Linked DNA regions of Stegostoma tigrinum. The protein of the gene in region 1 interacts with the protein of each later gene in a pairwise test. Links are inferred from orthologs where the notes say so. Each region holds a gene or a part of one and is shown in the gene's direction. Other genes may lie near its edges.

Region 1 (6,962 bases):
ATCTGCGATGCCAAGGCTTGCAAAACTATGGGAAAAATGTTTGAAAATGGGATTAGAATAGTTAAGGTCCTGACCCAAAATGTCAACTTTCCTGTTCCTCCGATGCTGCCCGGCCTGCTGTATTCACGCAGCTCCACACCGTGTTATCTCTGACTCCAGCATCAACAGTTCTTACTATCTCTCGAATAGTTAGGAGGTTGTTTTTGACTGGCACAGACTTGATGGGCTAAAGGGCCTTTTTCTGTGCTGTAGACCTCTAGTTTGCTAATATTACTTAATTGATATCTCAGCTAAAAATAAGAGTGATATGAAAGTTTGAGGTACTAGTGACCTACGCTTGTGATTAAATCATTTAGGCTTTGTAATGTTACCTTGACATTGCCAGACCTACAGGTAAACACATCCTTATGAATCTTGCTGCTCAGTGATGCAATGGGTTTTGAATTAGTTGGGAGCAATCCTATGCCTTTAACCATTACATCAAATCTAGAATTTTGTTAGTTTGAAATTATTCATGGAAACGTGAACATTTATGAGTTTATGAATTTACGAGTTATCCTCATTCTATCCTTACACTGGTCTTACCATGAAGCTGTTTCCGTTTGAGCTCGATAATTTGGGATAGGGTGGTAGAGAAAATAACAGGTCCAGGATAGAGGGACAGAATGTGAAGGTCAGAGCCAGGCCATTCAGGAGTGAAGTTTGAAAACAGGCCTTCATGCAAAGGGTTGTACGTGTGTAGAACACACTCTGACAATAACAGTTTGTACCAAGTAGCCCAAATAATACATTTGAACCAGGAGTAAAGGGTTTTTGTTCGAAGGGGTATTACGGGACAGACCAAGGCAGGTAAATGGAGTTACTGTAGCTGAGAAATGCAGAGAGAAATCAACATTAACATTAGAGATCTACCAAATGTCTAAAACCAGTGGGGAAGAAGCTGTTCTTCAATCTGTTCATATGTATATCCAAATGTATATATCTTTTGCCTGATAGAAGAGGGTAGAAGAGAGCATAACCAGGGTCGGAGTGGTCTTTGATTTTGTTGGATGCTGGAAGTCAGAAAGAAAAACAGATGTTGCTGGAGAAACTCAACATGGCAGCATCTGTAGAGAGAAAGCAGAGTTAATGTATCAGGTCCAGTGACCCTTCTTCAGAACTTTTCCCACCCCTCTGTCCTTTTACCGGAACTTGACCTGTTTCTCAAGAACTATCAATGTGATACCCTCTAAACTGACCATACGCTGTGTTCCCAGATCCAAACCTGACTTGGGAATCAAGCCTGCTGACAAGGCGGATGTTTCTGTTGACTGGCATACTGATCTCTACATTGCAGAGGTTGAGTGCCAGCTCTCAAACATCTCGTCCTGTCTCCCCTGGACCATGACCCTACCGTGGAACATCAGGCCGTTATGTCCACCATCATCAAGAAGGTTATCATTGAGTACAGAAGGATCTTGACCTGATGGGCCAATGGGTCAAAGAGTGGTAGATGAAGTTCAATTTAGATCAATGTGAGGTGTTGTATTTTGGAAAAGCAAATCAGGGCTGGACTTATACACTGAATGGTAATATCCTGGGGAGTGCTGCTGAACAAAGAGACCTTGGAGTGCAGGTTCGTAGTTCCTTGAAAACAGAGTGGCAGATAGACAAGATAGTGAAGAAGGCATTTGGTATGCTTGCCTATTTTGGCCCATGCATTGAGTATAGGAGTTGGGAGGTCGTGTTGTGGCTGTACAGGACATTGATTCAGCCACTTCTGGAATATTGCCTGCAATTCTGGTCTCCCTCCTACAGCAAGGGTGTTGTGAAACTGGAAAGGGTTCAGTAAACATTGACGAGGATGTTGCCAGGGTGGGAGAGTTTGAGCTGTAGGGAGAGGCTGAATAGGCTGGAGCTATTTTCCCTGGAGGGTCGGAGGCTGAGGGGTGACCTTATAGAGGTTTATAAAATCACAAGGGGCATGGATAGGGTGAATAGCTAAGGTCTTTTCCCCAGAATGGGGGAGTCCAAAACTACAGGGGCGTAGGTTTAAGCTGAGAGTGAAAAGATTTGAAAGGGACGAAAGGCCAACTTTTCCACATAGAGAGTGGTGTGTGTGTGTGGGATGAGCTGCCAGAGGAAGTGGTGTATACTCATACAATAACAACATTTAAAAGACATCCGGATGGGTATAGGAATAAGAAGGGTTTTGAGCGGCCTGGGACAAATGTTGGCAAATGGGACGAGATTAATTTAGTATATCTGGTCAGCATGGGCGCTTTGGACTGAAGGGTCTGTTTCCGTGTGGTATATCTCTATGACTATTCTAATTTGATCCGACAATTCCATTCCACTGCCTCCAAACTCATTAATCTCCAACTTCACACAGCCTACTTCTACCTCCATCCCAAAATTCACACACAAGACTGCACAGGCAAACACATTATTTTTGCCTGCTCCAGTTCCATGGGACTCATTTCTTCCTGTCTGAAAACAATTTTTTTTCCTCCCCTTGTCAACTCCCTTCTTATTTATACCTGTGAATCTTCTGATGTTTTACATTTTTAATCAGAATTTCCAGATTACCAGCTCCAGCCACCTCCTCTTCAACATGGCCTAGTAATCCTTTACACATTTCTGAAAAAGGGTCAAAAATAGAAATTGCTGGGAAAGCTCAGCAGCTCTGGCAGCATTTGTGGAGAGAGAGCAGAATTAATGTTTCAGGTCCAGTGACCCTTCTCCAGTGACAGGCAGAGTTTCTCCAGTTTTTTTTCTGTTTTTCTTTCTGATTTCCAGCAACCAACAAAGCCAAACGATCACTTGACCTGAAATGTTCATTCTGATCTTTCTCCACAATGCTGCCTGATTGGCTGAGCTTTCCCAGCAATTTCTATTTTTGACCCTTTTTCAGAAATGTGTAAAGGATTACCAGGCCATGTTGAAGAAGAGGTGGCTGGAGCTGGTAAACTGGCAATTTTGATTAAAAATGTGAAACATCAGAAGATTCACAACTGCGACAAAGCGCCATGGCTACCTGCAAACAATGTCGAGCTATGTGTCATCAATCACACTCAGAAATAAACAAACTCGTTTGCATCAATCAATCTGTCAGTAATAAAGTAATTAATATACTCCGGGGATCAATTGCAGTCAGTAATAAACTCAGACTCTGGCGCATCCATCTCATTTACCAGTAAACACATCATAGAAGTAGAAATGCTGGAGAAACTCAGCAGGTCTGGCAGCTTCTGTGGAGATAACATTGAATTAACATTTCGGGTCTAGTGACCCTTCTTCAGAATAAAAACCTAAGGAACTTCAGATGTTGTAAATCAGAGACAAAAACAGAAATTGCTGGGAAAGCTCAGCAGCTCAAGCAGCATCTGTGGAGAGAGAGCAGAATGAACATTTCAGGTCGAGTGACCATTTGGCTACATCGGTTGCTGGAAATCAGAAAGAAAAACAGAAATGACTGGAGAAACTCTGCTTGTCACTGGACTGGAAACATTCATTCTGCTCTCTCTCCACAGATACTGCCAGACCTGCTGAGTTTCTCCAGCAATTCTACTTGAGTCATGAGTTTATTAGTAAATGAGATGGATGCCCCAGAGTCTTAGTTTGTTAATTACTTTATTACTGACTGCAATTGATCCCCGGAGTTTGTTAATTACTTTATTACTGACTGCAATTGATCCCCGGAGTTTATTAATTACTTTATTACTGACTGATTGATTGATGCCCCCGAGTTTGTTTATTTGAGTGTGATTGATGACACAGAGCTCGACATTGTTTCTAGGTTGCCATGGCACTTTGTCGCCGTTGCGATGATGTCACAAAACCAGCCCACTCGTTGCGTTGTCGCGTCACAAAGATCGTCGGTACGTGTCGCCGAAGCCCCGCCCCTCGGCTGTCGGGGCCTGGTGCAGGCCGGGATACTGGAGGAGTCCGCTAGCTGCTTGGTGACGTGTGCGGGCCCGGATACCATGGCCGACGGGAGCAGACGGGCTAAGCTGGCGTCTGCCAAGAAGAAGGTGAGGGACAGGGTGAGCGGCAGACTGCGGAGGCTAAGGGGGAAGAAGCCAAAGCTCCGTGATCGACTGTCGGAACTGTTTTCCTTTTCCCCTCTCGGGGTGACCGGCTGATCTACCGCCTGTCCGCTGGGGGAGACGGTTCGGTGCGAGTTCGGGGCCCCCACGGCCTATGCGCCCCGAAGGGAGGGTTAGCAAGTGACTCTGGGGCCAGGGGCTGCGGCCGCCGCTTTCTCCGGTCCCCCCGGGAGGTGGTATCGCGGTGTCAGGCGGGGGTGGGGTGGGGCGGGGAGAACAACCCCGTTCCCCGCGACCCCTTCTCCCACCGCAACCCTGCACTCCCGGTTCGCTCCACATCCTTCTCCCCTCCGGCTCCCCATCCACATCCTTCTCCCCTCCGGCTCCCCATCCACATCCTTCTCGCACCCCCCCCCCCCCCCCCGTCCGGCTCCCCACTTCTCCTATTTATTCCCCCCCTCCGGCTCCACACTTCTCCTATTCTTCCCCCCTTCCCCCCCCCCCCCCGGCTCGCCACTTCTCCTATTCTTTCTCTCCCCCACCCCCCCCCCCCCACCACCCTCCGGCTCGCCACTTCTCTTATTTCCCCCTTCTCGCACCCCTACTATTCCTAGCCCTGGCTCACCCCCATCCCTCTCCCACATACCCTGTTCTTCTCCCTTCTCCTAGTACTCTGTCCACCCATCCCTGAGCTGCAGTGCCAGTTTGGGGGGAGAATTTACTCGCTGTGGCTTAACTTGTTCTCCACCACCACCCTCTCCCAAATTCTCTAGGCACAGTGTTAAAGGTGGACGAGAATAAAGAATCCTACTGTGTCCACCACTACCTTGTTCCCATGCCTCTGGGGCTTGGCATCAGCACAGGGATGTGGGAGAATTCTACTTCTCCTCTCTTCTCTCCTTCCCTCCCCCCCCCCCCCCCCCCCCCTTAACCTACCTCCACCCTAGCGTGCAGTGCCCGCCTGGGAGGTTTTGTGGTAGGGAGTCGAGAAAGAATCCTGCTCTGACCACAGTGTCAGTCTGTGAGGGTGATCTCTATTCTGTCTTTGACCCTGGGCACAATCCTAACCTGTCGGAGATAATCTCTACCCTGTCCCCCACCCTGGACACAATGTCAGCTACTGGGGATGATCCCTACCCTATCCTTGCACCGTCAGGCCCACAAGGTACAAGTCTGCGTGTGAAAGGGGTAAAGAGAGGTGGAATTGTAGCCCGTTACCAACTCTCTTTCCTGCACACTGCTAGCCTGACTGACATCCCAGCCTGCCTTATCACCCCAAGGTACTATGCCAGACTGGTTGGGGAGAAATCCTACTTGCTTAACCCTAATATGTGTGTAATGTCTGTCTGAGCGGAGTCTATCATATGCCCCACTCTCCTGACCACTCCATACACTTCCCCAAATTTCCTTTTGCATAAGTCACCACTTTTAGTACAGATGCAAGAATGATGCTCCAAACTTGATGAAAAACCTCTGCTCAATTGTTTACAGATATCCCAGTGATTGTCCTCCTGGGAGGAGTAGGCCTCTGTGGATCAAATTGGCTCAAAGATTACCCCCCATGATAAGGGGAATCTTTGAAGTTCATTTTCTTTGGCATTAACTCTCAGCCAGCAAATGTGCCTTACTTTCTGGCTGCTGTTGATGATTAAATTGACTGACTCGTCCAGCTCTCTTGATGGAGGTGTCCTCCCTGTTTTAACTGTATAACCATTCAAGTTAGTCCTGCTATGCAGACAGGTAGTGGGAATATTCCTAATGCTCTTGACAAATAAGCTGTTGGTTTTAATTAAAGCCAAGGAGTAACTGTGTTCTTAACTAGCTGTTACCAATCTATGCCAACATTACATGGTCACGTATATTTCATACAACACAAACAGTTAACTACATGGATTGATTTTGGACATTGCATGAGTTGTTTGCACATCTGGCATGTGCAACCGACCGAGGTATGGATTAGTTGTATGCAATATTAAATAAACAACTGACGTTCTCTAAAAGGAAATGCATTGCTTCTTATCTTCTTTATTGTGTCAGATTGTTGGCTGTAAATTTCGCGTATAAAATAATAATAAGGAAAACCACCTTCAGATTCCCTAAGGTTTGCATTTGTATAGCATATTTCATTATCTCAGTGCCCCAAATGGCTTTACAGCCGCTGAAACATTTTTGAAATATGGCACGCAGTTTTACATACAGCAAGCTCCCACAAATGGAGATATGATGATGACTGACGTCTCATTATCTGTTGATTGAAGGCTTTGAGGATATGATGGGTGCTGTGCAAGTGTTGATTTCATATTGAAAGGGTTTTTTTCTGTGAGCTACTGCATTTTTGTCAGCAGGAGTATCTCAGTTAGGGCTGGTTCCCTCTTGCTTTTGTACGTGTGATCGGAACAGTACTTTTGGTATCTATTTAAGTTGCTAATAGGAAATTCAGCAACTTTTGCCAAAAAATTCTCTGATTCCTTGAACTTCTGGCACATCTGTTCTTTAATTCATTTCTTTTATCTTCTGGCTTTAAATCAGGTCACTACAATAGTAGCTGTATTGACTGGAACGTTATGAACTCTTGATGGATTGGATGACAAAAATGATATTGAAATAATCTGTTTTCATGATAGCTGGCGCAGACATGTCAGGACACTTATTTCTTTCCGTGTTGCAGATCTTAATGGGTTATTTTGGAAGTTGGTCATGTTTTGGATTTGTCAGTTAATCACATAATTGGTCAAAGTGCTGCTCCCTCCTTTTACGATTCAGAAGTTCAATTTATCAAAAGTTATCAGCTTGCCAGAAGTAGTGTGGAAGTGAGTATCAAGGTGGTAAAGTCTTGGTACTTTGTATCAAATGCCCTGGAATTGAAATTCTCAATTGTAATTATTCAATACAACTTTTGACTGTATCCTTTTGAGGGATATTGTGGCCTGCTGT
Region 2 (7,588 bases), on another chromosome or scaffold:
ACCCTCCGACAGTGCAGCGCTCTGTGTTTAGGTGAAGACTCATTTTGCATATTCGAAAGCCATCACGTTAAGTGCACCTGAGAATTGTTGGAGAAATTCCAATACTGGATTTAATAACCTGATGAGCAATGTTGCTTCTTGAAAGGAAGAGATTTCTGGGTTTTATTTTAAAGCAGGAAATGCCAATTTTACATTGCTGGGCTCCACATAGCCCCAGCTGTCCTGTGGTGCTGAATATCATCCCATGGTGCAGGGCAGCAGCTAGGATTCAGTTTCACTTTGTTCGGGAGATTGCTGACCTATTTCAGGTTGTCATGGAATTAAAGAAGCTGTTCCACTGGCTGCTGAAATACAAGACAATTTCCACAAATGTAAAACGTTTCCATTCTTGTTCTGATTTGTAATCATTGTATAGCCCCCTTTCTTTGAAATCTCCTTCACCCAGGAAACCTAGGATCGTCTAACTCCAGTCCAATTTTCACCCTAAGTATTAATCACTTTCCTCTTAGCACCTGCCCCTTCAGCTTCCCAGGCCTATCTTTCAGACAACAGCCTTACAGTGTCGTTCATTGTGACTGTCCAACTTTGACTGTCTTTGGTTACAGCCACCATCTTGGTATGACTCACGAATCTCTTTGCTTGTTCTGATTTCACAGCTCCCAGCCTGTTGCCTCTATAGCTTCCTTCTTGCTCGATGCTCCTGCTTCTGTAACACAATCCACCTCTCGATATCATGGCCCACCTTAAAACCCCTGTTCATCTTACTTTAATGCCATCTTCTGCCACCTGTTGAGCAGTTTGTTCTCTGAATGTGTTTGGTAGCATTTAAATGCAAGTTGTTGTTGTAAAGCTAGCACTGACTTCTGGTTGAGCATTTGACCTGCACTGTTCGATCGGGCTAACTATGACCTTGAGAACCAACAAAGTGCTTCATGGGAATATTTTTGAAGAAAACTCATTAACTGTAACAGGACTTCAGGCAAACAGGTGAAGTGCAACAATATCATGAATATGTACACAGTTAAAGCTCTCAGGTGAGAGAGACAGAGATGCCATGGGGGCTTTGAAACAGTTGAGCTATGAGATCTGAAAGAACTCAAGTGGCTGTGATTCAATATCAGACTCAATTGTTGGATTTAGTGTTTGCCCTTGCCAGGGAAAAGCACAACCCTCACTGGGCTATGGGCTCCCCCTCCCCTCCTGAAAGTGCTGACCCTCACTGGGTTACCAAGTCCCTCACAAGAGTGACCATCGCACAGTCCCTGTGGAGACCAAGTCCTGCCTTCACAAGGAGAACGACCTCCAGCGTATTGCGTGGCACTATCACTGTGCTAAATGGGACAGACTTCACACAGATGTAGCAGCTCATTCTGGGCATCCATGAGGCACCGTGGGCCATCAACAGCAGCTGAACTGTACTCCAGCACAATCTGTAACCTCATGGCCTGGCACATTCCCTACTCAACCATTACCATCAACTCTGGTTCAATGGAGAGTGCAGGAGGGCATGCCAGCAGCAGCACCAGGCTTACTTGAAGATGAGGCATCAATCTGGTGAAGCCAACAAACAAGGATTACTTGCACACCAAACAGTGAAAGCAGCAAGTGATAGACAGGGCTAATCAATCCCACAACTGATGGATCAGATCTAAGCTCTGCAGTCCTGCCACATCCGGTGGCGAGTAGTAGAGGATGATTAAACAACTCACTGAAGGAGGGGGCTCCACAAACATCCCCATCCTCAATGATGGAAGAGCCCAGCGCATCAGTGCAAAAGATAAAGCTGAAGCATTCGCAGCAATCTTCAGCCAGAAGTGCCGAGTGGATGATCCATCTTAGCCTCCTCCAGTGGTCCCCAGCTTCACAGATACCAGTCTTCAGCCAATTCCATTCACTCCACGTGATGTCAAGAAACAGTTGGAGACACTGGATACTGCAAAGGCTACGGGCCCTGACAACGTCTCAGCAATAGTACTGAAGACTTGTGCTCCAGAACTTGCCACTCCCCTAGCCAAGCTGTTCCAGTATAGTTACAACACTGGGATCTACTCGACAATGTGGAAAATTGGCGATGTATGTCCTGGAGATAAAAAGCAGGACAAATCCAACCCGGCCAATTACCAATTACTGTCATCAGAGGCAAAAATGGAAGTTGCCGGATAGGCTCAGCAGGTCTGACATCATCTGTGGAGAAAAAATCAGAGTTCCACCAGGGCCACTCAGCTCCTGACCCCATTACAGCCTTGGTTCAAACATGGACAGAACAGCTGCATTCCAGAGTGAGGTGAGAGTGACAACCCTTGATATCAAGGCTGTATTTGACCAAGTGCGGCATCAAGGGGCCGTAGCAAAACCAGAATCAATGTCTATCAGGGGGCAAATGCTCCAGTAGTTGGGGTCATACCTGACACAGAGGAAGATGGTCGTGATTGTTGGAGGTCAGTCATCTCAGCCCCAGGACATCTCTGCCGGAGTTCCTCGGCCACACAAATGCCCCAGGACATCTCTGCCGGAGTTCCTCGGCCACACAAATGCCCCAGGACATCTCTGCCGGAGTTCCTCGGCCACACAAATGCCCCAGGACATCTCTGCCGGAGTTCCTCGGCCACACAAATGCCCCAGGACATCTCTGCCGGAGTTCCTCGGCCACACAAATGCCCCAGAACATCTCTGCCGGAGCTCCTCGGCCACACAAATGCCCCAGGACATCTCTGCCGGAGTTCCTCGGCCACACAAATGCCCCAGGACATCTCTGCCGGAGTTCCTCGGCCACACAAATGCCCCAGGACATCTCTGCCGGAGTTCCTCGGCCACACAAATGCCCCAGGACATCTCTGCCGGAGTTCCTCGGCCACACAAATGCCCCAGGACATCTCTGCCGGAGTTCCTCGGCCACACAAATGCCCCAGGACATCTCTGCCGGAGTTCCTCGGCCACACAAATGCCCCAGGACATCTCTGCTGGAGTTCCTCGGCCACACAAATGCCAAGCTATAACCATCCCCAGCAGGCAACAGCCTAATCACTGGCCCTTACCGTTCAATATTGTTACCATTACTGAGTTTTACACTATCAACATCCCAGGGGTTACCACTAACCAGAAATTCTACTTCCACATAAACACAAGACCAGGTCAGAAGCTGGGAATACTGCAGTGAGTAACTCATCTCCTGCCTCCTCAAAGCCTATCCACCATCTACAAGGCACAAGTCAGGAGTGGGATGGAATACTCCCCACTTGCCTGGATGGGTGCAGCTTCAACAACACTCAAGAAGCTTGACACGTTCCAGGACAAAACAACACACTTGATTGGCACCACATCCACAAGCATCCACTCCCTCCTCCACCAATGTTCAGTCGCAGCAGTGTGTACTTTTTACAAGATGCTCTTCAGAAATTCATCAGAGATTCTTAGACATTATCTTCCAAACTCACAACCACTTCCATTTAGAATGTCAAGGGCAGCCACTACATGGAACACCATCATCTGCAAGTTCCCCTTCAAACCACTCACCATCCTGCCTTGGGAAAATATGTCGCTGTTCCTTCACTGACACCTGATCAAAATGCTGGAATTCCCTCCCGAAGCACTTTGTGGGTGCACCTACTCCAAATGGATGGCAGTGGTTCAAGGAGGCAGCACATGACCACCTTCTTGAGGGCAACTGGGCAATAAATGCTGGCCTGGCCAGTGAAGCCAATGTCCCACAAATAAATAACAACAAATTTTGAACATGCCCAGCAACTTTTCACTGTCTACCCTCAAACCTCTTTGTTCAAGTCTGTGTGTTTCTGTGTGTGCGCGCATGTGTGTCTGTGTCTTTATGTCTGAGTTTCTGTATCTATGTGTTTGTGTGTGTGTGTGCGTGTGTGTGTGTGTGTGTGTGTGTGTGTGTGTGTGTGTGTGTGTTTATCTATGTGACGCCCTGTCTTTGTGCCTGTGTGTGTGGGTGTGTGTGTGAGTGACACCCTGTCTTTGTGCCTGTGTGTGTGTGTGTGTGTGTGTGTGTGTGTGACGTCCTGTCTTTGTGCCTGTGTGTGTGTGTGTGTGTGTGTGTGTGAGTGACGCCCTGTCTTTGTGCCTGTGTGTGTGTGTGTGTGTGTGTGTGTGTGTGTGTGTGTGTGTGTGTGTGTTTATCTATGTGACGCCCTGTGTGTGTGGGTGTGTGTGTGAGTGACGCCCTGTCTTTGTGCCTGTGTGTGTGTGTTTATCTATGTGACGCCCTGTCTTTGTGCCTGTGTGTGACGCCCTGACTTTGTGCCTGTGTTTCTGTATCTATGTGAAACCCTGTGTGTGTGTGTCTGTCTGTCTTTTTCTCTGTTTCTGTATGAGTTTCTCTGTCTTTGCTTCTGTGTGTTTCTTTGTATCAGTCTGTCACTGTCTCTGTGTCAGTGTGTTTTTGTCAATGCCCTATTAGGAGCAAGCCTAGACTTGCTTGTGAACTCAAGCTTCCCTCTTCCTGCCAGATCTCTGTGTTGGGTTGTTTCGCAGTGTGGTGTGGGATAGCTGTAATCAAAGCAGTTGCCATAGTGAGGAAAGGAAGCTGCTCAATGATGTGGGGAATACCAAGCAAATGGCCTGAAATTGAGACAAGAATAGTGAAAAATGGAAGTAGGTTTTTCATTCTATTTGTTTTCCTACAGGTACCCTCGCCTCTTGATGTGCTTACACTCATCTGCCACATATTTCTGCAGAGTTCTGTCTTAGAAGATCTGTTTCTTGTATTGCCTTGTATTGCCTTGCATTGCCTTGTATTGCCTTGCATTGCCTTGTTGAATTTGTTTTGCACACATTGTGAAGCTGTCAATGCCGCATGGAATAGATTTAAACACTCGTAGCACAGGGACAGCATGGGGTTAGATACACAGTAAACATCCCTACACACTGTCCTCATTAAACAGGGATAACACAGGATTAGATACGGAGTAAAGCTTCCTCTACACTGTCCCCGTTAAACACTCCCAGAACAGGGACAGCATGGTATTAGATGCAGAGTAAAGCTTCCTCTACTCTGTCCCAACACAAGTTGAAACCACCTGATGGTTCCAGTGTGATATTCTCTTTCCTGGACCACCCATTCTTTTACAGAGGTTTTGAGCCATCTTCCTATTCTAGAAGCAGCGCAGGAGACAATGTGCTTGTGGCCTGAATCCATATTGAATCACCATCAAGTGGCGCTGTGGTGTTCTGTGTTTGAAGATGAAGGAAGGTGTTGGAGTAAATTAAATACATTCCCACAACAAAATCTGAATCTTCCTCCTCAGCAAATTTTTCAAAGTTGGTGAATCGCCTCACCTTCAATGGTTTTTCCCTCTCCTGCACAATCCTGAGTGAGGGCTGATGCTGATGTAGAGCAGGCAGGGTGAGTGTACAATCTACAGGCAGGCTACAGTACAGGGACAGGTTTTGTAAATTTGGAGTTTGGGAGACTGTGTCAATACATTAATCTAACACGAGGTGGCAGAATCTGCCTGAGAGTCTCTCACACAGGGAGCTACTGGAGAACAGCCTGTAAACATGTCCCATTTGGTAATCACTTGGAAATCCGTTCTGTAATCTCCACATTCTTACCCGTAAACATTTTTGGTGAACAGACCTGTCCACCATATCCTTCCTCTAGAGCAGAATGACAACTTTGTAAACTTTTTACTGGCCCCTGTACTTGAGTACAATGACAATAAAACTTAATTCTAATTCTTCCCTTACTCCTCTTCAGGCTCAAGTAAAGCCATTATCCAATTGAATGCTGAAAACATTCTACTGAATGGAGCACATCCATCAGGCCTGTATTTCAAAAGCAGCTCCTCCTCCCCGCCACCACCCCCACCCGCCCCCCCCCCCCACCTTGGAGAGTCAGTGTTGAGGGATTCACCCCCTCCATCCCGTGGAGGGTCAGCACTGAGGGATCCCCTCCCACCCCCCTTGGAGGGTCAGCAGTCAGGGATCCCCTCTCCCCTCCTTGGAGGGTCAGCACTGAGGGATCCCCTATCCCATCGGAAGGTCAGTCCTGAGGGATCCCCTCCCCCCCCCCCGGAGGGTCAGCGCTGAGTGATCCCCTCCCCCCTCGGATGGTCAGTGCTGAGGGATCCCCTCCCCTCCTTTGTAGGATCAGCACTGAGGGATAACCTCCCCTCCCCTTGGAGGGTTAGTGCTGAGGGATCAGCCCCTCCCCCCTTGGAGGGTCAGCACTGAGGGATCCCCGCCCCTCCCCTCAAAAGGTCAGCGCTGAGGGCTCTCCTCCCTCCTTGGAGGGTCAGCAATGAGGAATCCCCCCCCTCCCTGGAAGGTCAGCGCTGAGTGAGCCCCTCCCCCTTCAGAGGGTCAAAGTTGAGGGATCCCGTCCCCCCCTTGGAGGGTCAGCACTGAGGGATCCCCTCGCACCCCCCCCCGCCCCGGGAAGGTCAGCGCTGAATGATTCCCTCCACCCTCAGAAGGTCAACACCGAGGGATCACCTCCCCCGCCCCCCAGAAGATCTGTGCTGAGGGAACCCCTCCCCTGGAGGGTCAGCACTGAGGGATCCTCTCCCCCCACGTCAGAGGGTTATCGCTGAGGGATGCCCTCCCCCTTGGAAGGTCAGTGCTGAGGGATCCTCTTCCCCCTAACCTTGGAGGGTGCGTGCTGAGGGAGTCCGTCCCTGTCACAGCTCAGTGCTGAGGGAGGTGTTCTCTTTCGGATAAACACCTGCTGGATCCTGCCTGGCAGATATATGTAAAAAGAACCCAAGTCTGTTATTTTGAAGAACAGCTTCAGTGGCTCTAACTATACTCAGCTGGCTGGGTGGTTGGTTTGTGAAGTAGAGTGATGCCCACCGTTTGAGTTCAGCTCCCTCCAAAGAGATCCTTCAGCGCTGACCCTCAACTCCCACCCTGGCTGAGGTTACCACAAAGGAGTCTCCTCTCAACCTCCCCCCTCACATGAGATATCTGACCCTCAAGTTAAACCACCCCCAGTTGTCTCTCTCTAAGGAGAGAGCAGCCCAATGGAAGAACAGACAATGCTGGAGTCAGTGATAACATGGAGCTGGAGGAACACAGCAGGCCAGGCAGCATCAGAGGAGCAAAAGAGTCAATATTTCAAGTCTAGACCCTGATGAAGGCCTGAAGCATCAACTCTCCTGCTCCTCTTGTACTCCCTGACCTAATGTGTTCCTTCAGCTCCACACTGTATCAGCTCTATGGGCTGGTAAGACTGTGGTAACTCCCACTCATTTGTCAATAGTGATGATGTAAATATTTACTTTGATTATTGCGTTATTGTCACACTTTTGAGATTGTGAAAGGTGCTATAGGAATGTACATGTTACTTTGGGTGGAGGCTCGAATGCTGGTCAGGCTAGTTGACCCCAGAAGATTGAAGTGTGAGCGCAAACAAGCATTTCAGTAACAGTTTTGCTGTGTGGAGACAGTGACATTACAGTGTCCGCTGAGGGCCAGTCAGGTCACTGGTCTGATTTTACTGGAAACGAGGCCCAGGCAGAGTGATTAACAGCTTAGGCAAGAAGTTTCTGTTCATAGTTCAGAATTAACAATACATTCAACCTACATATTAGATTTCTGTCCCATTTCCCAGGTTTTAAACTGTGCTGTT
Region 3 (7,738 bases), on another chromosome or scaffold:
TTAGATGAGATAGGGGAAGCGCTAAATGAATATTTTTCAACAGTATTCACTCTAGAAAATGACAATGTTGTGGAGGAGAATACTGAGATACAGGCTACTAGACTAGGTGGGATTGAGGTTCACAGGGGAGAGGTATTAGAAATTCTTCAGAGGGTGAAGATAGATAAGTCCCCTGGGCCGGATGGGATTTATCCCCGGATCCTCTGGGAAGCCAGGGAGGAAATTGCCGAGCCTTTGGCGTTGATCTTTAACTCGTCATTGTCTACAGGAATAGTGCCAGATGACTGGAGGATAGCAAATGTAGTTCCCCTGTTCAAGAAGGAGAGTAGAGACAACCCTGGTAATTACCAACAACTGAGGTAAGGCTCACTGGTCTATAAAGTGTTGGAAAAGGTTATAAGGGATAGTCAGCACGGTTTTGTGAAGGGAAGGTCGTGCCTCACAAACCTTATTGAGTTCTTTGAGAAGGTGACCAAACAGGTAGATAAGAGTAAACCGGTTGATGTGGTGTATATGGATTTCAGCAAGGTGTTTGATAAGGTTCCCCACAATAGGCTATTGTACAAAATGCGGAGGAATGGAATTGTGGGAGATATAGCAGTTTGTATCGGAAATTGGCTTGCTGAAAGAAGACAGAGGGTGGTAGTTGATGGGAAATGTTCATCCTGGAAACCGGTTACTATTGGTGTTCCGCAAGGGTCGGTGTTGGGTCCACTGCTGTTTGTCATTTTTATAAATGACCTGGATGAGGGCGTAGAAGGATGGGTTAGTAAATTTGCAGACGACACTAAGGTCGGTGGAGTGGTGGAGTTGTGGACAGTGACGAAGGATGCTGTAGGTTGCAGAGAGACATAGATAAGCTGCAGAGCTGGGCTGAGAGGTGGCAAATGGAGTTTAATGCAGACAAGTGTGAGGTAATGCACTTTGGTAGGAGTAACCGGAAGGCAAAGTACAGGGCTAATGGTAAGATTCTTAGTAGTGTAGATGAGCAGAGAGATCTCGGTGTCCATGTACACAGATCCTTGAAAGTTGCCACCCAGGTTGACAGGGCTGTTGAGAAGGCATACAGTGTTTTAGCTTTTATTAATAGAGGGATTGAGTTCCGGACCCAAGAGGTTATGGTGAAGCTGTACAAAACTCTGGTGCAGCCACACTTGGAGTATTGTGTACAGTTCTGGTCACCGCATTATAAGAAGGATGTGAAAGCTTTGGAAAGGGTGCAGAGGAGATTTACTAGGATGTTGCCTGGTATGGAGGGAAGGCCTTATGAGGAAAGGCTGAGGGACTTGAGGCTGTTTTCATTAGAGAGAAGAAGGTTGAGAGGTGACTTAATTGAAACATATAAAATAATCAGGGGGTTAGATAGGGTGATTAGAGAGAGCCTTTTTCCTAGGATGGTGATGGCGAGTACGAGGGGGCATAGCTTGAAATTGAGGGGTGAAAGATATAGGACAGATGTCAGAGGTAGTTTCTTTACTCAGAGTAGTAAGGGAATGGAATGTTTTGCCTGCAACAGTATGTGAATTCGCCAACTTTAGATACATTAAAGTCGTCATTGGATAAGCATATGGACGTACATGGAATAGTGTAGGTTAGATGGGCTTGAGATCAGTATGACAGGTCGGCACAACATTGAGGGCTGAAGGGCCTGTACTGTGCTATAATGTTCTATGTTCTATTAATCTTAGTTGACTATACACTGAGGTGTTGGTCTCATGTGAATCTTTGTATCATGGTGCATGATTAAGGGAACTTATTTGAATGTAGATACTGTAATGTTCACCTATGTGTCGATTAGAAATAATAAAATTTCTCTATTTACCTCTACAATTAATCTAAAAGTGTTCTTAAACATTTCCAGCAGGAAGTGGTTAACAGCATAATAAAAAGCCTGTGTACTTGTTTTGAGTGCATTATTCCAAAATATGTGCAACAGTTGCTTTAAACAATAATAGCCTTCAAGCAACTAACTTCCCGACGATCTACTTCAATAGAAATTAAGTTGAAATTATTACTGAGTTTGTTAAAGTCAGTTATAAAAATACTTTACTGATCAAATGAACTTAGGGATGTATTTTGAACAAATTAACCTGTGCAAGACATTTTAATGTTTTCAGTTCTTCCAGCTGTTGAGCAGGATGTGATATTCTCAGGGGAGTGCTGTATTTTTGTATCTTGTATTGAAAATAAATATTTTTAGTTTGGTTCAACAGCAATTTTATGATATTTAAATTTACATAAGGGACTTGCTTAATGTTACCTTGACAAACTTACCGCCCAAATTATTCCAACTTTTTAAGTGTGTCGTGTATTCCTTTTCTTTTACTTTTGACTTGACCTTTAAAACTCTGGCTTTATAAGTTAGTGAGGTTTATAAGTAAGATACCATAGTTTTAAGCTAGGCATTACTGTGTTCTTCTTTCTGTAGGAAGTTAACCTGTCAGAGCAATTGAGCCACTCAATATGAGCTGATTATTGCAGCAGAAAGTTTTCATTGTAGGAGTTAAACAATCACTCAAATAGTGATGAATGCTGTGTGCTTTTCAACCAAATAGCCCAATCCCCCTCACCAACATCTTGGAGACTGCTCAAGATTATTGTGGCCAATAGACCAGACTAGCATCTCTCTGTCAGAAAGATGTCTATTACGCTCCAGGCTCCTCCATAACCCATCTGTGAGCTGATCTTCTCCCTTTTGTGGCAGGATCGACCTGCCAAATGTGAGGACACAATGGTGCCTATTTGTGTGGGAGCAGCCCTTGGAGCACTTAACTGTGTCAAGCAACTTTTAAGTCTCCAGGCTTAAGGTCACCTGACATGGACAAAACCTTCGACTGATAATCATCTTGTTTCTTCAGTGCACCTGCATATTGCATGTAACTTGGAGGAAACTCATGAAAACAATATCAGATTCGGAGGGGGTTTGGGATCTTTAGTGCACCGCACGTCAGCTGCAGTGGCTGACTCATAAACCTACTGACTGAACATACCACATTCTGAAGCTGCAGGCCCAGTGTTAATTGATGAAGTAATAAACACAATGAAGAGATAGAATTGTCTGAACAACCTAACTGATGCTATCCGTGAGGGCATAGTTCGACCTGGCCATCAATTCTTGAAGGCAAAGAGCCTGATGTTGATGATATGGGCAGGTTTTCTGAGCTGACAACATGAGGTGCAATATTTTGTTTGGAAACTGGAGTGTCTGAGTTCCCCACCCGGATGGCTAAGTCAACATTAAACCTAACTTCCTCCTTGCAAAGAGAAGAGGAAAAAGATCTACTGCCCAGGTGTGTTATCATTACAAGGGAGGATATACAAACGAAATCTGATTCTTTACTCCTCTAAAGTTCCAGGTGCACCTTACTGCCAATGTTATGAGATAAAAGGCAGGAGAAAGGACTATGACTGAATTTAATTCTCCTCCATCTCCTTGCCTCACCCCCACACCTTCCACGAATGTCCCCACCTTCTAAAAGTCAGCCAGACCAAGATTTGTGCCTGATGCAAACGTGAATGAATGTTTTTAAGATGGAGTTAAACATAGTTTTTCGGGCTTAAGGTATGAGGGGATAGCACAGTGTGAAGCTGGAGGAACACAGCAGGTCAGCCAGCATCAGAGGAGAAGGAAAGCTGATGTTTCTGAAGAAGGGTCCCGACCCGAAATGTCAGCTTTCCTGCTCCTCCAATGCTGCCTGGCCTGCTGTGTTCCTCCAGCTCCATACTGTGTTATCTCTGACTCCAGCATCGGCAGTCCTTACTACCTCAAAAGGTGAGGGGAGAGAGCAAGAATAGAACATGAAGTTGAATGTTCAGTCACGATTACCTTGAATGGCCAGAGGGTTAAATGGCTTTCTCCTCCTGTTTTCTACGTTTCTGTGTGCATTCATGATTTGGATGGTGCTGAACATAATTGAAGTGAATTCTTATGAGAGTTCTTCCAGTTATCTGTAGCACTTGGGTGAAAGGCAGCTGTCAGAAACCACAGAGAACTGCATCAAAGATTTCTGATTGAGATCAAAACTAACTCTAGACAGTGGAGTGTTTGCACTATTTTTATAAGGGACTTTTAGCATTAGCTAATGGAGTTTTGTTTTGAGGGGTTTACCATGTAGCTTTGAGTTGACAATGAGAAGTAAATTGTTGTCACTAAAATAATTTTAAAGTAATTGATCACTGATTTTCAACAGAAAAATTGTTTTTTGACTCCTCTTTTTTTTCCAATCCCAGGTCCATAACCCGTTCCTACTACCGTAATTCAGTTGGTGGGTTGCTTGTGTTTGATATCACAAATCGTAGATCTTTCGAACACGTGCGTGACTGGTTGGAAGAAGCAAAAATGCACGTCCAGCCGTATCGAATCATATTCCTGCTTGTTGGACACAAAAGCGACTTGGCGACCCAAAGGAAAGTTTCAAAGGAAGAGGCAGAGAAACTTGCAGCTGTATCTGGTATGAAATACATCGAGACATCTGCAAAAGATTCGATGAACGTGGAGGAATCTTTCACCGTTCTGACCCGAGAGATATACGAGCTACTGAAAAAAGGCAACATATCCATCCAGGAAGGGTGGGAAGGTGTTAAGAGTGGTGTGGTTCCTAATGTTGTTCATTCTTCTGAGGAAGCTGTGCTGCCTGGAAGAAGATGCTTTTGCTAATCACGGGAAAGAACCCTTTATTCCAAAGAGTTGCTTATTGTACTTTTTAGCCATCCCTGCAAGCCTATCTGGATATGCCAACAAATCTTCTAGGGCTTACCCTAGACTTGGCATAGATTTGATTAGAATATATTTCATTGGAAAGTAAGTACCCAACTTGGCTACAGAGCTTCTCTGACATGAAATGCACAAATTTTATTTTATCAATAACTGCAGACTTTAATAGTAAGAGTGTATTTTTTGCACAGTAAAATCAAGTTTTATTTTTGGGACTTGTTGCCTTACTGTAAGACTGGCAATCTGTCAGAGAAACTGATGTGTATAACTAAAGGTTAAATTAACATGTATATTTGATATGAACCATTTGCCCGAAATAATGCTTTAAATAAGGTTTAATCAAACTCAGAAATATGTGAGTGATTTCTGGAGATGTAAGAAATATTCTTGGCTTTAAATTACTAAATGTTTTAGAAGTGGTGTTTTGTTTGTCTTATGCAGTTATTTAATTCAATAGGTTTTAATTAATTCACATGAGAGATTAATATTTTTCTTAAGTCCTTACATGTTTAGCGAAGTGGCTGTGGAAAACGAATACAGCAGATAAAACAGTGAAGAAAGATGTGAAAATATTCTGCAATGAATGAGAACAGACATTTGCTGTTAATAAGCTCCAAAAAGTTGAACTGCCACGAGCAATCACTGTGCTAATGTCTACATTTCTGCAACAGTGGAGTGCATTTCCTGAATATTTATCATTATAGGCTGATTATATGCACAAAGATGTTAGCCAAAGCCCTGCACTATACTTTCTTCTGTTTAGTGGTTGGCTCATGTGGAAGCTAATAAATAGTAAACATGTTCTGTGGCATGGCATGTTGCTGTTTTGCTTGTAGCTTTCAATGTTACGGTTTACAGTTACAAAAAGCTGCCTTTTTATTTTGGAAAATGGCAAGGCTATTGTGGTCATTGAACTAGATCCTTCCTATATTTGCACTGTGGACTGGAGATGAGAATGGCGAATGTGTAATCAAAGGGGCAAACATAGTATTGCTACAGTTGTGACTTACAAAAACACTTGAATATTGCTAATAACAGACAAATTTGGAAGTTTTAACATTAAAAAGCTTTTAATTCTCCAACAGGAAGTACTGAAATTCTCATTCTTGTAAGTCAACCAATCACTGTATGCATTTTGCTGTTTTCCTTGCACTTACTGGTGCTAGTTTTAGCACAACATACAACATAGATATCATTTAAACAGGACTCTGTTATGGCTACGTAATGTATGCAATGTGCTCAATTGGCTACAAACCATGAGCATACCAGTCCTCCCTTCAATTCTGAAATGTAATGTTAATTTGCAATCGAATGTGTAAATTAGGAAGTCCTTTAAATCCAGTTATTTGCTTAAGTGAATCCATTTTAATGGTCTGTGGACTATAAAACATACATGACATAAAAATGTTAATTTACCTGCATATTAAATATCATAAGGTACTGGTTACAATGTAGGATCATATATTGTTTCATTATTTGTTTGGATCATTATAGCTGAACATGTTGAGCGAGTTCAATAATAATTGAGATAACAAGGTGTAGAGCTGGATGAACACAGCAGGCCAAGCAGCATCAGAGGATCAAGAAAGCTGACCTTTCAGGCCTAGACCCTTCTTCAGAAATGGGGAGGGGAAGGGGATTCTGAAATAAATAGTGAGAGAGGGGGAGGCAGATAAAAGATGGGTAGGGGAGAAGATAGGTGGAGAGGAGACAGACAAGTCAAAGAGGTGGGGTTGGAGCCAGTAAAGGTGAGTGTAGGTGGGGAGCTAGGGAGGGGATAGGTCAGTCCTGGGAGGACAGACAGATCAAGGGGGCAGGATGAGGCTAGTTGGTAGATGATGGAGGTGGGGCTTGAGGTGGGAGGAGAGGATAGGTGGAGGGGGGAAGGACAGATTAGGGAGGCAGGGATACACTATTTTGTGTGTCACAGACATTGAAATCGTTCTCTTTTTAGTCTGTTGCAAACGTACCTAACTCGCCTCTTATCCACCTGTAAGCATTAGGAGGTGATAAGTCTGAACTTCTCAGCCAACTGGTTACAATAGAGACAACTAGCTTCTAATTGCAGTTCTTGTTTTTATTGCTGCGGTTTCAAGCCGTTGTGCATCAATTCCTCATATCTCTAGCTGCAGCAATTTTTAAACAGAAATTGACCAAAGTAGCTAGTGTAACATGACTTCTGATTTTTTTTGTTTGTTTTCTGCTGGCTGATTTAATATAAAAATAAGAAAGTGGTCATAATTGCAGTTCACTTTCAAGCATTTACTGAATTGGATTGAGTTTCCTATCTTGACAATTTCAAATTGCTTTCATGATTGACCTAAATAATATCTGAATTGATTTATTTTTCAACATATCATGATTTTGGGTGGGAGAGATTTTTTGATATATGAATTCCAAACTTAGCCATGGAAATCTGTTTTCATTTGAAAAAATAAAAATCAAAGCTTAATGCACTAAACATCTTTCATGTAATATCTCCATTCCCTCAACACCACATTTTCAGACAAGAACCGAAAGCCAGTCACTGAGAATTGAGTATGTTATTTGCCCACGATGCAACATGATGGAACTTGTCTTTATTCATCATTGCTGTTTGCAAAAACAAACATTTCATTCGTTTGCAATTAGCTGACTGAAAGTATTTTTAATTTTTATTTTTTCAAATGAAAACAGGTTTCTATGGCTAAGTTAGGAATTAATGTATCAAAAAATCTCTCCTCCCCAAATCATGATGATATGTTGAAAAATAAATCAATTCAGATATTACTTAGGTCAATCATGAAAGCAATTTGGAATATCAATCTAATTCAGTGAATGTTTGAAAGTGAGAGCAATTATGACCACTTTCTTATTATTATATTAGTCAGCCAGAAGAAAACAATATAACAATCATTATTAAATGAATGTGAATTGTTGTATTGAAATGAGACCTTAAATCCATTATATGATAGTTTATGAACACCAATAAATTTGCCTTGTTCTCTAAAATATGTAATTTTGTAATGTGGTATAATCTGATGT
Region 4 (7,399 bases), on another chromosome or scaffold:
TAAGATTGCTGGAAATAACCTATAATCATCATCATTGAGTTGCATTTAAATTCCTGTCTGAGGTATCAAATAGTTCTTGGTCTTGTGCTCTATCTCTCAACCTTCTGGATCAAATCCCTATTCTTGGAAGAAAAATTCCTGGGGAAGTAGTCACTTCTAGCACCTTTTAACAAGAATAAAGTTTGTCTATTTCTGGCTCTGACAGAATTATAATAATACTACCAGTCATGTTCAGTTGGTGTTTGGTTTCATGCTTGTTATCTGGCTTCTGAGTGAGTTAATACCTGAATTGGCAGGAAATGTGAAAGCAATGATGCCAATGAAAATAGTTGGGTTTGAATAGTGATGTAGAAAATGTTGAATTTCCAGTTTAGTTCATTGGCATGTAGTATATTTTTAATCCATAGCTTTTGGGGTTTTTTGCATAAAAGGTCAGCTAGCTGGACCTCTGAGCTCCTTGACTGGACCAGATTAACAGCCCCAATCAAGGAACTTGCTGACATAAGCTTGTTTAGGTATTAGTTTGTTTTTGATTCCTGACCTATGATGCAGTGCTATAGAGTGACTTAGAAAAAGTCACTAAGTCCTCATTTTATTGACTGACTGGATATTCCTATCCAGAGTTACAGGGGTCTTTGCTATAAACATGTTCTGGCAACACTAATTGGCTATAAGCTGTTTGACAAATAGGGAAACGCATTTTAAACGTGAACTTGTGTTGGCTGTGATTCCATACAGTAGGCAGCTTGCTGTCAGGAGCCCTTTGTACTAGTTCACTGTAGGTATTGTTAACAATGTTGTGGTTGAGTCGGAAATTCGGTCAGCTTTTTTCAATAATTGAAACAGACCTGCTGGCTTCTTTTATTAGTTTAAAAATTAGGGTGTAGGGAAAATGGAAGAACAATATTCTTTCCTTTGAAGGGAAACACTGAAGAACAGGAGCTGGGCACAAGAGGCTGCTCCAGCAGACTATGTAAGTAAGCAGCCAGATCATGGTGGGCTTGTATTTCAACTTGTTTGTTTTTTGCACCCTTGCGCCATAGCCCTCCATACACACGGTGTGAATGGCTGAAGGAGTCGAATTTGCTATGGCAACATACGTGTATATATCGCAGTCTGGAACTTTGAATCTCCGAACCTATACTCTGCTTCTGGCAGGAAGGATTTGCAGATCTCACCTTGAGTGCGCCTTGCCGGGCCATTGAGTTCTGAGGCAGGACTTGAACTTTGACCTTCTTGCTTACAAAAGCTTATACCTGTAACAATCTCGATTTTCACAAAGAGCTTGACAGCCACTTAAGTGTATATAAGTGCAGTCATTGTAGAAAATACAACAGCATTCACGCATAACTCTCTCTCCCAAGCAACGTCTGATGAGAGGACAATCCATAATTGTTGCTGACTATCGGATAAGCATTGACTAGGACACCCGGGTAACTGTCCTGCACTCTTTGGAAATAGTGAGGACAGATATGCAATCAGAAAAGGATCTGCCAAACAGCTGTCACAGTCGGACCAACCTGTTTGAACAGCTGCCGAACGTAGTGCTATCCTTTGAGCCACGCTTTTGGTGGTCTGCCCCTAACTCCGCTTTTCTCATTGGCCCAGTTATTTTCCACAGCGTGATTTTTCTGCAGCGTAACTATCGCGTCATAGCGGAACCGCCTGTATTTTGGTTTGAGTGCGTCAAACTATATGAATTTACAGCATGACCCCGAACCTGAAGGTTTTGATGACGATCTTTCAATCTTCCCTGGATAATGACAGTAGTCGTGTCAAAATAAATATGGGAAAAGCCTTAAACCCAACAAAGTCAGCAGCATCCTTGTAACTCCCTCAAGTTTCACAACACCATCTTTCCTATAGCAGAGAAACCAGAATTGAACATAGTATTCAAAGTGGCCTAACCGATTTCCTGTATAGCTGCAACGTGACCGTTCCCAACTCCATACACAATGCACTGACCCATAAAAGGCAAGCATATCAAATATCTTCTCTATCCTGTCTACCTGTGACTCCACCTTCAAGAACTATGAATCAGCACTCCCAGTCTCTCTGTTCAACTGTTCAGCAACACTCCCCAGGACCTTAGCCAGTGTGTAAGCCCTGCCCCGAATTGCGTTTTCAAAATGCAGCATCTCGCATTTAGCTAAATTTAGAAATCCAGCTGCTGCTCCTCTGCCCATCTGATCAAGATCCCATTGTACTCTGACATAACCTTCTTTGCTGTCCACTACACAGTTTTGGCATCATCTGCCAACCTAAACATACCGACTCTGCTCACATCCAAATCGTTTATATAAATGATGAAAAGCAGTGGACTCTACAAAGATTCTTGTGCCTTGTGGCATGCCACTGGTCACAGGCCTCCAGTCCGAAAAGCAAACTTCTACCACCACCCTCTGTCTTCTACCTTTGAGCCAGTCCTAATCCAATGGGCTAGTTCTCCCTGTATTTCCTATGATCTAAATTTGTTAACTAGCCTACCATGAGGAGCATTGAATGCCTTACTGAAGCCCATATAGATCACATCCACTGCCTTCATCAATCCTCTTCGTTACTACTTCAAAAAAACTGTTGTTAGTGACAATTTCCCATGCACAAAACCATGTGGACTAACCCTAATCTATCCTTGCCTTTCCAAATACATAAGTCCTGTCCCTCAGGATTCCCTCCAACAACTTTACCACCATTGCTGAACCTCCACTCTGCTAGCACCTCTCCTGTGGCTAACAATGATACAAATATCTCCACAAGGGACCCAGCAATCACTTCCCTACCTTCCCACTGGGTTCTAAGATAAACCTGATCAAGTTCCAGGGATTTTTGCACCTTTATGTTAACACTACTTGTGGGCTTCAAGTGCTGGTTAACAATCTAGATGCAAGATATTGTGAAGTGACCAGCTATCTAGCAATTAGTTAATCTCTTCATGAGAAGAAAATGGTGGATGTTTACATGAGGAATGCACGGGGTGAATTTTCTAGCAGACTTGTACTTAGCTCTGTTTAAAGAAAAACTGGAAATACTCATTAGGCAGCACCTGTGGTGACAAACAAAGCTAAGATCTTGGGTTGATGATATTTTCTGACTTTGAAATATTAGTGAAAACAGATGTTAAGCAAGTACAAAATTGATAGATGGAACAAGGAAGGGATTGGAGAGACTAAATAACAAATGGAACGGTTCCACAAAGCAAAAGAAAGTGACTGGGCAAGTAAGGGAATAAAAAATCTTGGAGCATAAATAGGACTAGTAGAATCATCACTAATGCTATGATTTGAAAATAGGGGACAGATTACAACCCAGAATTAAATACCATATTGGATACTTAATCTTTGGGACTCAACCTGAAAGTGATGTGCAGTTTGTAAGTTTTGATCATACTTCAGTCCAACAGTGGATGAAGTTAAGGACAAAGACGAGTTGGCATTGTCTCAGAATTAGTTGATTTTAAAGTACAATTGAGGTATCCACCAGAATGTTGCTGTGGGAATTTTGGTTTTGGTTTGTTTTGAATGCTGAAAAGGGAGGGAATAGAAAGATGCTTGGATAACCTAATGCTGAAAGAGGTGGTAATGGTAGATGTTCAATTAAATATGTAGGTTGTGGAAGGGGAAAAGAACAAGAAGAAACTAATCTCCCCGGGGGGCGGGGGAAGAGAGAGAGAGCGAGAACAAATCTAGGAAATGGATCGGTCACTACCCTTTTCGAGATAATGAGAACTGCAGATGCTGGAGAATCCAAGATAACAAAGTGTGGAGCTGGATGAACACAGCAGGCCAAGCAGCACCTCAGCTACCTTTTTCGAGCATCTTTATTAGGTCAATCTACGAGGACTAGTAATTAGGCTGAATGTTTGTTTGGCATAACATTTAATCATTGGGATTTATGAGAAATTTCTCAATGTATACTTAAGAAGCCACTTATTTATCAATCACCATATCTTGCAATGAAATTGTCAATAGTAAAACGCCGGTTTATCTTGGCTTCAATATTTATTTTGGTTTCACAATGCTAACGTGCATCATCCGCAAAAACATTCCGGAACGAAAAAAAAATCGGTTTACTCGCAAAATAATTTACCATTACTTCCTCCTTTTTATTGCCTAAATTGGTGACAATTTGACTCACATCACAAAAGTCCTGGCAGCTGTGATCACATCTCGGACTGATAGATGGCTCATCCCAGAGGCGAATTCCAGTGCTGGGGAAGCCAGGTGAGCTCGCTGCAGTGGAGGAAGCCGCACTCACCTTGCCATCTTTCTCACTCAGCCGCGGATTGTTGACAGGCGACGCCGCGATGGCAACCAAGTACACCTTTCCCAATTGGCTGATTTCGCAGGGGCAGCACCCAATGGAGGCGAGGGTAGCTGGTAGGCTGACCAATGCGGCCAAGCCGTGCCCGAGAGCAGGGCGGTGACGCGGGGTCGATCGTTTCCAGCTTCTCCCCACCCCGTCCCTGGAGAGGGGAGGAGTGAGAGTGAGAGTGAGAGGTTGAGGTTGCTGGAAAGGGGCGTCTGTCCCCTTCCAGTCTTTTCTGGTGCTTCCTTTCGAAGTGTGGCCCGGTCAGCCAGAGTAGTAAGTGTTTCGGTATAAGTGAGGAATATATCTCTGTCTGTGTGTGTGTGTGTGTGTGTGTGGGAGCGAGCGAGCGAGCGAGCGCGAATGAACTGGGAGGTTTGGCTCACCAGTCACAGACAGGTGTTCGCACACCCGTGGGCCAGAGGAAGGTGAGAAACGTTTCGTGGGTGGCTAGGATCCCAGAGCTGGCGTGATTTTAATCGCCTCCAACTCCTGCCACCCTTCTCCTGTTCGTGTCTCAATGTTCAACGACCGGGGACGGAACGATTTACATGACCATTTGGTTCCTATTGTTCTTGATGAAAACCGAGGCGAGAACACTCCCGAAATGATTCATTTCAACTGAAAATGGTGAGGTGGTGTTCCGCGATTGCGGACTGTTTCACTTGAATGAGTCCTTCCCGCAGTGAAGGTGTGGCGGCAATAAAATGAAATTTTCCATTGAGGTATAACTGTATTTTGATTTCGTGTCCTTTTTCGGCTACGTGTTTTCTTGCCTGCCCCTTGTTTAGTTTTTTTTCAGTGCGGTCATAATGGAATATGGCCACTGTTTAGAGAACAATCGAAGGGGGTTTGAGCGCTTATTTTGCATCATTATTAGGAAAAAAAATACGCCTTTGCGCCACTGTGCTGCATTGGCTGTACTGGTCTGTCGAGAATACGATCCTTGATTGTTAATGGTGATAAACCAGTCCCTGTGCGGTAACTGGGCGTTACTAAATCTGTGTGTGACTGTGGTTTCTGTTTAACTTTCTACCGGTCAGTAGACGTGTGTTAATATCGAATATTCTTAGTTGCTCCAATTTTAAGTAATTCTGTCCGAGACATTAGCAATCTAAAGCGAAACAGTCAACTGCACATGTATATCCATTCTATCCTTTGATTTTGTTATTGAGACATTTTGTAAGCGTGATACAAATTGGGTAACTTTAAAGGAAAGTCGTATTTCCAGACAGTTTGAGTTTTCACTTAAACGGCATCTCTGCTAATTTTTTCTTTCTTTCTTGTGCTTGTTTAAAAGCTATTAAAATTACTTTGTACAACAACAATATTTTTCTATAGGGAATTTTACGTAAGTCACCTTTTTAGTAGACAGGTTCCTTGTTCAGAGATAACAAGGTGTGGAGCTGGATGAACACAGCAGGCCAAGTGGCATCTTAGGAGCAGGAAAGCTGACGTTTCGGGCCTCGAACCTTCATCAGAAAAGCTCCCTTGTTCAGACAGCATGCTGTGTTTCTCAATTTAACTTATTTGCTTTCTTTGCACGTATACTGCATTTATGAATAATGTACTCTGATTTTTCTGCTATGAGCTAAAGTTGTTTGGACCACCTGTAATTTTTTTTTGCCCCAAATGAAAACAAATCAAATCTTGCATTCTCTTGCAGGGATAGAAGAGATAAAACAGGGAATGCAAGATGCAGGGTCTTTTGTTAGATTTCCAGATGTGGCATTTGTAGGGAGAGCACCAATAAAACCTGTTGCCTCTGCAATCTAACTTGCAGTTGAACCAAAAATGATGGCGTCAGATTACAGTGTTGAGCAGAAAAAAGATATTTGCACATACCTTGTTTTTTGTATGCTTCAACTTTTATGAATATTAGTGTAGTGAACAGTGAAGAAGTCTGTGAAAAGAACAAAACCTTGATTAGTTGGGCTGAGGAATGGCAAATAGAATTTAACTCTTCATAAGTGGAAACTGTTGCATTTTGGAAGGCACACCAGGGCAGAATTTAATTGTCGTGTTCTGCGCTCTCTTGCTGAACAAAAACCTTGAGGTGCAGGTTCATATTTTCTTGAAAGTGGAGTTCCATGTACACAGGCTAATGAAGAAAGCATTTGATATGCTTGCCTGTATTGGTCTGTGCATTGAGTATGAGAGTTGCAATGTCATATGGATCTGGATGTGTACGTGAATAGAACGGGTTTGGTGGGATCTGGGCCAAGTGCTGGCAAATAGTACTGATTTAATTTAGGATATCTAGTTGGCATGGATAAGTTTGACCAATGGTCTGTTTCAGTGCTGTACAACTCTAGACTCTCTAACTGCAAATAATCATCTTTAAATAAGTAATTTTATACAATTTAAGTCATGTTTATTGTGACCCAACTGGTTATACTAGTAGCTATGGTGCCTGTGTGCCATCTCACTGCATTAGTGACTACTTCCTATCATTCTGAAGTATTGACAAGAACAGGAGGGGCTACTTAGCCCCATGAGTCAGTTCTCATTCAGCAGGTGTTTGTATCTTGCTGATGTACTTGTACTTGTATCAAGTATTAACCATTCCACATGGCAGCTGTGTCTAAACACATCACCTTGTTACCTCAATGTAGATGGCGTAGAGCTAGATGAACACAGCAGGCCGAGCAGGAAAGCTGACGTTTCGTGTCCAGACCTGAAACGTCAGCTTTCCTGCTCCTCTGCTGCTTGACCTGCTGTGTTCATCTAGCTCTAAAACCTATCTCAGATTCTCCAGCACAGGTAGTTCTTGCTGTTTCTCTTGCCAACTGTATTGTGCTATCTTTTCAACTAATTTCAGTATGCCCAGAATAAAAAGAATACAGTATAAAAACAGGATAGAAACAACTTTCAACACTGTCGTCTCAAATGTCTGCTCTTTCTAAAGGATACAGGAAGGTTGATTAAACATGACTGCTTCATTTTTCAGCTTCCATGCTGGTAATTATTTATCAATTCTTTTGTTATTTCATCCTCTGGGGAAGATTTTGTCTGCCTGAATACTGAAGCTAATTGGCTTGTAGTTTTCTGCATTAGTTTTAGGGATGCTTTGTTTCTATAGTGCTTGTCACAG

The links.
Region 2: the proteins of golga2 (region 1) and ubiquitin carboxyl-terminal hydrolase 2-like interact in binary tests that used the Homo sapiens proteins (3 or more experiments, as listed by UniProt). The two-hybrid records come from large-scale screens. The link is inferred for Stegostoma tigrinum from reciprocal best matches to the Homo sapiens genes GOLGA2 and USP2.
Region 3: the proteins of golga2 (region 1) and cullin-5 interact in binary tests that used the Homo sapiens proteins (3 or more experiments, as listed by UniProt). The two-hybrid records come from large-scale screens. The link is inferred for Stegostoma tigrinum from reciprocal best matches to the Homo sapiens genes GOLGA2 and CUL5.
Region 4: the proteins of golga2 (region 1) and pkp4 interact in binary tests that used the Homo sapiens proteins (3 or more experiments, as listed by UniProt). The two-hybrid records come from large-scale screens. The link is inferred for Stegostoma tigrinum from reciprocal best matches to the Homo sapiens genes GOLGA2 and PKP4.

Annotation. Positions count from the first base shown.
Region 1 is NC_081382.1:36,886,425-36,893,386, forward strand, and holds the start of golga2 (golgin subfamily A member 2), read left to right. Parts: upstream 1-3,898; 5' UTR 3,899-3,965; coding exon 3,966-4,013; intron 4,014-6,962. UniProt on the Homo sapiens protein: Peripheral membrane component of the cis-Golgi stack that acts as a membrane skeleton that maintains the structure of the Golgi apparatus, and as a vesicle thether that facilitates vesicle fusion to the Golgi membrane.
Region 2 is NC_081385.1:1,061,773-1,069,360, forward strand, and holds the start of ubiquitin carboxyl-terminal hydrolase 2-like, read left to right. Parts: upstream 1-4,542; 5' UTR 4,543-4,550; coding exon 4,551-4,611; intron 4,612-7,588. UniProt on the Homo sapiens protein: Hydrolase that deubiquitinates polyubiquitinated target proteins such as MDM2, MDM4 and CCND1. Isoform 1 and isoform 4 possess both ubiquitin-specific peptidase and isopeptidase activities.
Region 3 is NC_081359.1:70,260,632-70,268,369, forward strand, and holds the start of cullin-5, read left to right. Parts: upstream 1-4,738; 5' UTR 4,739-4,801; intron 4,802-7,738. Other genes in the region: ras-related protein Rab-39A-like, read left to right, coding at 4,231-4,657. UniProt on the Homo sapiens protein: Core component of multiple cullin-5-RING E3 ubiquitin-protein ligase complexes (ECS complexes, also named CRL5 complexes), which mediate the ubiquitination and subsequent proteasomal degradation of target proteins.
Region 4 is NC_081360.1:58,118,530-58,125,928, forward strand, and holds the start of pkp4 (plakophilin-4), read left to right. Parts: upstream 1-4,394; 5' UTR 4,395-4,581; exon of another isoform or gene 4,582-4,601; intron 4,602-4,637; exon of another isoform or gene 4,638-4,935; intron 4,936-7,399. UniProt on the Homo sapiens protein: Plays a role as a regulator of Rho activity during cytokinesis. May play a role in junctional plaques.